2 linked regions of the Saccharomyces cerevisiae S288C genome follow. The protein of the gene in region 2 interacts with the protein of the main gene of each other region in a pairwise test. Each region holds a gene or a part of one and is shown on either strand. Other genes may lie near its edges.

Region 1 (4,720 bases), on a different chromosome or scaffold from region 2:
AATAAATGATGTTTTGAATGGTTATAACGGTACTGTAATAACATATGGACCAAGTTTCAGCGGAAAGTCCTATTCCCTTATTGGATCAAAAGAAAGCGAAGGAATTCTACCGAACATATGCAAGACCTTGTTTGATACGCTAGAAAAAAATGAAGAAACAAAGGGAGATAGTTTTAGCGTAAGTGTTTTGGCATTCGAAATATATATGGAGAAAACGTATGACTTATTGGTACCTTTACCTGAAAGAAAACCATTAAAGCTTCACCGTTCTTCAAGCAAAATGGACTTAGAAATCAAAGATATTTGTCCGGCACATGTCGGATCGTATGAAGACTTAAGAAGCTACATTCAGGCAGTCCAAAACGTCGGCAATAGGATGGCATGTGGCGACAAGACAGAGAGATCAAGATCACACCTAGTTTTTCAATTACACGTAGAACAAAGGAATAGAAAAGATGATATATTAAAAAATAGTTCTTTATATCTGGTTGATTTACACGGGGCAGAGAAGTTCGATAAAAGAACTGAAAGTACGCTATCACAAGATGCGTTAAAAAAATTAAACCAATCTATTGAGGCGTTGAAAAACACTGTGCGGTCCTTGTCAATGAAAGAGCGTGATTCAGCCTACAGCGCAAAAGGATCACATAGTTCTGCTTACCGTGAATCGCAATTAACTGAAGTGTTAAAAGATTCCCTTGGGGGAAATAGGAAAACAAAGGTGATATTGACATGTTTCTTAAGTAATGTTCCAACTACCCTATCAACACTAGAATTTGGTGACAGTATTAGACAGATCAATAACAAGGTTACAGATAACACCACAGGTTTAAATCTGAAAAAAAAAATGGATCTATTTATTCAGGACATGAAAATTAAGGATGATAATTATGTTGCCCAAATTAATATACTAAAGGCTGAAATAGACTCTTTAAAAAGCCTTCACAATAAATCTCTTCCCGAAGACGACGAGAAAAAAATGTTAGAAAATACAAAGAAAGAAAATATCAAACTAAAGCTTCAATTAGACAGTATTACCCAATTATTGAGTAGTTCTACCAATGAAGATCCTAACAATCGTATTGACGAAGAAGTTTCTGAAATATTAACGAAAAGATGCGAACAGATTGCTCAGCTTGAGTTATCTTTTGATCGACAGATGAATTCCAATTCTAAGTTGCAGCAAGAGTTAGAATACAAAAAGTCAAAAGAGGAAGCCTTAGAGTCTATGAACGTTAGGCTACTAGAACAAATTCAGCTTCAGGAAAGAGAGATTCAAGAGCTTTTAACTACTAACGCCATCTTAAAGGGTGAACTAGAAACTCACACTAAACTTACTGAAACACGCAGTGAAAGGATAAAATCTTTGGAAAGTTCTGTCAAAGAGCTTTCTCTTAATAAATCTGCAATCCCATCTCCTAGAAGAGGGTCTATGAGCTCGTCATCAGGAAATACTATGTTGCATATCGAGGAGGGTTCTGAAATATCAAATAGCCCTTGGTCAGCCAATACTTCCTCAAAACCTTTAGTATGGGGCGCGAGAAAGGTTTCTTCTAGCAGTATAGCAACCACTGGATCACAGGAGTCTTTTGTGGCAAGACCGTTCAAGAAGGGATTAAACCTCCATTCGATAAAAGTCACTTCGAGTACTCCAAAAAGTCCCTCTTCTGGAAGCTGACTATAATTAAGTTCGATAATTGTACGATACAACTGTGTAGTATCTTTGTAATTATAATCATGATGATAACGCTAATAATTTGTACGTATAATGCTGACTGAAAGATGTACTTTTCTTCTACCGTTTTTCTTCGGCGGCTATTCGTTTACAATGATTTGGAAAAATGAGAAAAATTGAAAATAAAAAATTCTGCTCGATGAGATGAGATGAGGTTATGATATATATGTAAGAATTCCTCAAGAAGAGGTTGCAAGAGTCTGCAGACATTATCATGGCAGCAAATAGCAATAGTAGAGTTGCATCAAACCATACTTCTAAAAAACAAAAGGTTAGGAGGAATATACATCCATTCACGAATAACACTCGGATTAAAAGAGCTAGTAAAATCGTAAAGTTTAATGATTCAGGCGAGGGCGACCATGTTTCAGACCAACGTTCGAACAAGGAAAATGTCCTTACTTATAAATCTTTGAAAAGTCGGGCAAGCGATTTACTCAAAATGAGAGAAACACTTCCCGTTTACCAACACAAGCGAGAAATAATGTCATATATTGAAAGCAATCCCGTTACCGTCCTTATTGGTGAAACAGGTTCTGGTAAATCAACACAAATTCCGCAATTCGTATTAGAAAAATTATATGATACGAAGAAGCATGGGTCGATTGCTGTAACTCAACCCCGTCGTGTTGCGGCCATCAATTTGGCTACACGTGTTGCTCAAGAACATGGTTGCAAACTGGGTGAACAAGTAGGTTATTCTGTCAGATTTGACAATACGACTACTACAAGAACAAGACTTAAGTATCTGACTGACGGTATGTTACTTAGAGAACTTATGATGAATAGTGACCTTAGAGAATACAGCGTCATCGTTATCGATGAAGCGCATGAAAGAACTGTGCTTACAGATTTGATATTGGGGTTCTTAAAATCCTTGATACAAGGGCCAAGACCTGATTTGAGAATAATTGTTATGTCTGCAACATTGCAAGCCGAAAAATTTAGTGAGTTCTTCAATAATGCCCCAATCTTATTTGTAGAAGGAAGAAAATTTGATGTCAAACAATACTACTTGAAGGCGCCAACAGATGATATAGTAGACGCTGTCATCAGGTGTTGTATACAAATAAACCAAGGTGAAGAACTGGGAGATATCTTATGTTTTTTACCGGGCCAAGAAGAGATTGACAAAGCAGTGACTATAATGGAGAAAATTGCAAAGTATGTTTCAGATGAGGCCCCAGTACCATTAATAGTTCCTTATCCTTTATATGCAGCTCTTCCCGCGGTCCAACAGTCCTTGGTCTTCGCTCCGATAAAGGGTTTCAAGAGAAAAGTCGTCTTTAGTACCAATATTGCAGAAACATCTGTTACCATATCCGGTGTTAAATTTGTCGTTGATTCTGGTCTTCGAAAAGTCAAAGTTTGGAGACATCAGCTGGGATTAGCCACTCTACTTACCGTACCCATTTCTCAGGCAAGTGCGATGCAGAGAAGTGGTCGTGCTGGTAGAGAAAGTGAAGGAAAGAGTTTCAGGCTTTATTGTGAGTCTGATTATGTGAAATTACCTAAACAAAGTGAACCTGAAATAGCCAGAAGTGACGTCACATCTCCTGTGTTAATGTTGAAGAGATATGGTGTTGATGACCTGCTAAACTGGACCTGGTTTGAGAACCCTGGAAAGGAAGCTATAGTAATGGGGCTTCAGGAACTTTATGAATTGGGTGCTCTTGACACTCGTGGAAAGATAACTAAACGGGGTCAACAAATGGCTCTGTTACCGCTACAACCGCATTTAAGTAGTGTCTTAATTAAAGCCAGTGAAGTCGGATGTTTGAGTCAGGTCATTGATATCGTCTCTTGCCTTAGTGTGGAAAATTTACTGTTGAATCCGTCACCAGAAGAAAGAGATGAGGTGAACGAGCGTCGTTTGTCCTTATGCAACGCTGGTAAAAGGTATGGTGACCTTATCATGCTGAAAGAGCTTTTTGATATCTATTTCTACGAACTAGGGAAAAGTCAAGATGCAAGCTCTGAAAGAAATGATTGGTGTAAAGGATTGTGTATTTCGATACGTGGGTTTAAAAATGTAATTCGTGTCAGAGACCAGTTAAGAGTTTATTGTAAGCGTTTGTTTTCTTCAATCAGTGAAGAGGATGAAGAATCCAAAAAGATTGGTGAAGATGGCGAGCTAATTTCGAAAATTTTAAAGTGTTTCTTAACTGGGTTTATCAAGAATACAGCTATAGGGATGCCAGACAGGTCTTATAGAACTGTTTCCACTGGAGAGCCGATAAGCATTCATCCATCATCTATGCTATTTATGAATAAAAGCTGCCCCGGTATAATGTACACGGAGTATGTCTTTACTACGAAGGGATATGCCAGAAATGTTAGTAGGATTGAACTTTCATGGTTACAAGAAGTTGTCACTAATGCAGCCGCTGTAGCAAAGCAAAAAGTTTCTGATTCAAAATAAGTCACCTACTCTTAGCGCATTTTTATTGTATATAAAGGCATTTAATGTAATTTATAGAGCATTATAAATCGTAACAACTACTGCAGTATGAGTTTCATGGATTCATTTCTCAATATCTTATGAATATACACAGGTATATATGTATATTCATGTTAAACGCCTTTCGAATTGTTCGTTGGCTTTTTTTGTGAAATTATCTCGGGAAAAGGGCGAAATTATATTATTTTGCCGTTGACATTTTGAAAAGGAATAAAAGATCATGAAAAAAATAAGAAAGGCAATTCGACGCATTTCTCTCAGCAAGCTATTCTTTACTTTTGAAGAACAAAATATTTTAGCAAAAAGGTTAAGACAATATAGTCGGAAGCAGTTCTGCGGGATCTGAAGGAATTGCGGAATAATGAGATTTCACGATAGTATACTTATCTTCTTTTCTTTGGCATCGCTTTATCAACATGTTCATGGTGCAAGACAAGTCGTTCGTCCAAAGGAGAAAATGACTACTTCAGAAGAAGTTAAACCTTGGTTACGTACGGTTTATGGAAGTCAAAAAGAATTAGTCA
Region 2 (2,791 bases):
TTACGTCTTCGGCTAGTAATCGGATCAGCGGGAGAAACATCGTACGTACACAAGAGAATACCGAGAGTGTCGATTAATCAACCACGCTCCATGAGGCTTATCCGCATTCTACTTGCATGTTAGCCGGGAAAAGACATAAATCATCTCAATTCTCTAGAATACTCTAGAGATTATGTAAAAGCGTAGCCCCGTAGATGATTAAATAATTTTCGGTTTCTTACCCCGTAACCACGAGTTGCGGTGTTTTTGCTTCTATCGGGGCAATAAGCGGGCGCTGCTTCTCGGGAATGTAAAAACTGTGCTTCCTACCATGAAGTAGTTGGATCTTGAAATGGGTTGGGCCGGAACAATATGCAAGTACTACAATCCTTGTATTCCCATATGATTATATTCCCCTTTGCATAGGCTAGTGTTTTTTTTTTCGTTCTTTTGTTTCTTCCGCTAGGAATAGTAGTGGCGATCTGCAGAAAGACGCTCTAAGGAAAAAGAGAGAATTTCGATCAGTCCCGTACACATTACTCTTGGGAAGTTCAATTCCTTCGGACGTAATCCACATACGAACTTGGCTCTCATCTGTTGTCTTCAAGCTGTTGCGGCCCTCCTCTTTCTCTCTGTTGTACACATTTTTTGACTTTCAAAAATATGCCGCTAAGGAAACATAACCCTTGTGTATGTGAGCTTGTAGCATATGATATAGTGCTCATTGGCATGTGACAAGAATTGCGTATGTAATTGAAGTTTGTAGTGTAATTTACGAAAATAGCCGCCCTTCTTCTTCATTAACGATTATTGAGCGTAATGATATAAGATACAACGGTTTATTTAGGGCTGCATCCATGAAAATACTTTGTAATAGTGAGTCGTCGCCTTGTTTGTTTATTCAATACAATGCAGTGTCTCTATAGTCTCCTCCTTTAGTTTCACTATCTTTTCTAACCGCCGAAGATATACGAGTGTTCTGAACGAAAAACGACCTTTTCAAACATAGAATATAATTGTATATATACATATACATATATGATACGCAGCCACATTCGTAGTATCTTTAAGACACTGCCTTTCAAAAAAGCTTTGGTATTTTGAAAGAAGATCGAAGCCAAGGAACCAGGACTACAATGAATTAGACGCTACAAAGTTTCTTAATTGGAAAACAAGGAGGGACAAGGAGGAGACTTTTACAGTAAACCAGAATGCTCCTTCACTGTTCAGTTATGTAATGTTATTGTTTGGAAGATCTGAAGAGAGGCATTTCCTACAACCTCTTGAATAAAATAGTGGAAGGCATTTACACAAAGAAGCCGTGCCACTTTGGTCCGGATTTTTTTTACCTAAAATCGTCTTAAATTGGCCTGTTCGATAGCTGTCATTTGTTTTAGATATTTATTTCCTAACGTCAGCTTTAGTTACAGTATGTATGTATCAACCTTTTAGTAAGACAATAATGATTGCATGTTTGATCCTGCTTTAAAGGCATTGGAAGTAACCGTAGTGGCCGCTGTTTCTTCTTGACGGCCTGTAATTGACCTGCGACGCGGGCAATTTCTAGCGATGAGATTGGAAAAACTAACGCATAAAAAAGATTTCAAGATTTATAAGATGTTGAAACAAATCCTCTTCTCACATCTACAGTTGATACAGTATACCGTATTATCTTTCCTCGGTAGTGTTCAGAATGAGTAGGGCCAAAGAATTACAAGAGAAGCTCAACTTGCAAGCGAAACTCCAGTCTACTTTCAGTAACAATACTGCTGCAGTTTTGGACTGGCTGAAAGAATCAGATGAAACCGGCATTAGCAATGATACAGAGCGTAACAAACAGTTAAAAGATCACAAGGAGTTGGAGGATGGTAAGAAGGCATTTTTCAAGCTTCCCGTTTTGCAGATTGGATCGGGCCTACACTTCCGCACACAAGATGACGCTTCCGCCAAAGAAGATATACATACGATTGGTGAGTTTATTGAGGGTGATAAAAAGGTAAGTTCGTTGGCAAAGAAAAAGAAAAGAAGTGACCCAGGGTTGCAACGAAATAATATGTACAGGATCACTAAAGATGATACGAAAGCCATGATTGCGCTTAAAAGAAAAATGAGGAAAGGCGAGAAGGAAGGACTAAGGAAGAAACAAGAGCATAGCAAAAGCAGCGTTTCGAACTCATATAGTGCCAGTGATGAAGAGGATGAAGATGCAGGGACAATGCCGCAAAAGTCCACAAAAAAAAAATTTGGTTTACTTTTTGATAAAAAAAAGAAGGCACGTAAATAATCTTAAACACTTATGGGCAGCAAAAAATGCGTCTTTCTTCCCTCGTCTGTTGTTTTATGTAGGGCGTAATGATGTTTGCTTGTCAACAAATGAATACGTACAGAAGAGAATTCTAGCCAAGGCAATTATTGCATACTGCAAGTACTGAGTACGTTAACGTTGCTAGAATAACATTAAATGAGATGTAGCAATGCAGATCCTTCCTCAGTAGGCTTAATGCTCCACTAGAATTTTTGACCAGCCACTATTTGCTTTTTTCGCAATCCTTTTCAATACTCGAGAGCAAAGACAAAAAAAATAAGACATGTAGTGCGCTGTATGGAAAAGAATTAATTAGAACTTTACAAACGCGTGTTAAACAGGCATATTTAAGTGTTTGGACCTAAACAATATATCGACTATTGAAATTCTTACGCAAGATTTTTTATAGTTGGATATTCATATATTCTTACAACTCTCTCTACTTTCAGTTTTTTGAAGCTATATGTATCATTATATACGTTTATGGATTTTTCAAACCTAAACAAT

What was found. Proteins that work in one complex are often made in the same cells at the same time.
Region 1: the proteins of NOP19 (region 2) and DHR2 interact in binary tests that used the Saccharomyces cerevisiae proteins (3 or more experiments, as listed by UniProt).

Annotation. Positions count from the first base shown.
Region 1 is NC_001143.9:286,896-291,615, forward strand, and holds DHR2 (RNA helicase), read left to right. Parts: upstream 1-1,949; coding exon 1,950-4,157; downstream 4,158-4,720. Other genes in the region: SMY1 (Smy1p), read left to right, coding at 1-1,678; PSG1 (Psg1p), read left to right, coding at 4,558-4,720. UniProt on the Saccharomyces cerevisiae protein: Probable ATP-binding RNA helicase. Required for 18S rRNA synthesis.
Region 2 is NC_001139.9:993,967-996,757, forward strand, and holds NOP19 (Nop19p), read left to right. Parts: upstream 1-1,672; coding exon 1,673-2,263; downstream 2,264-2,791.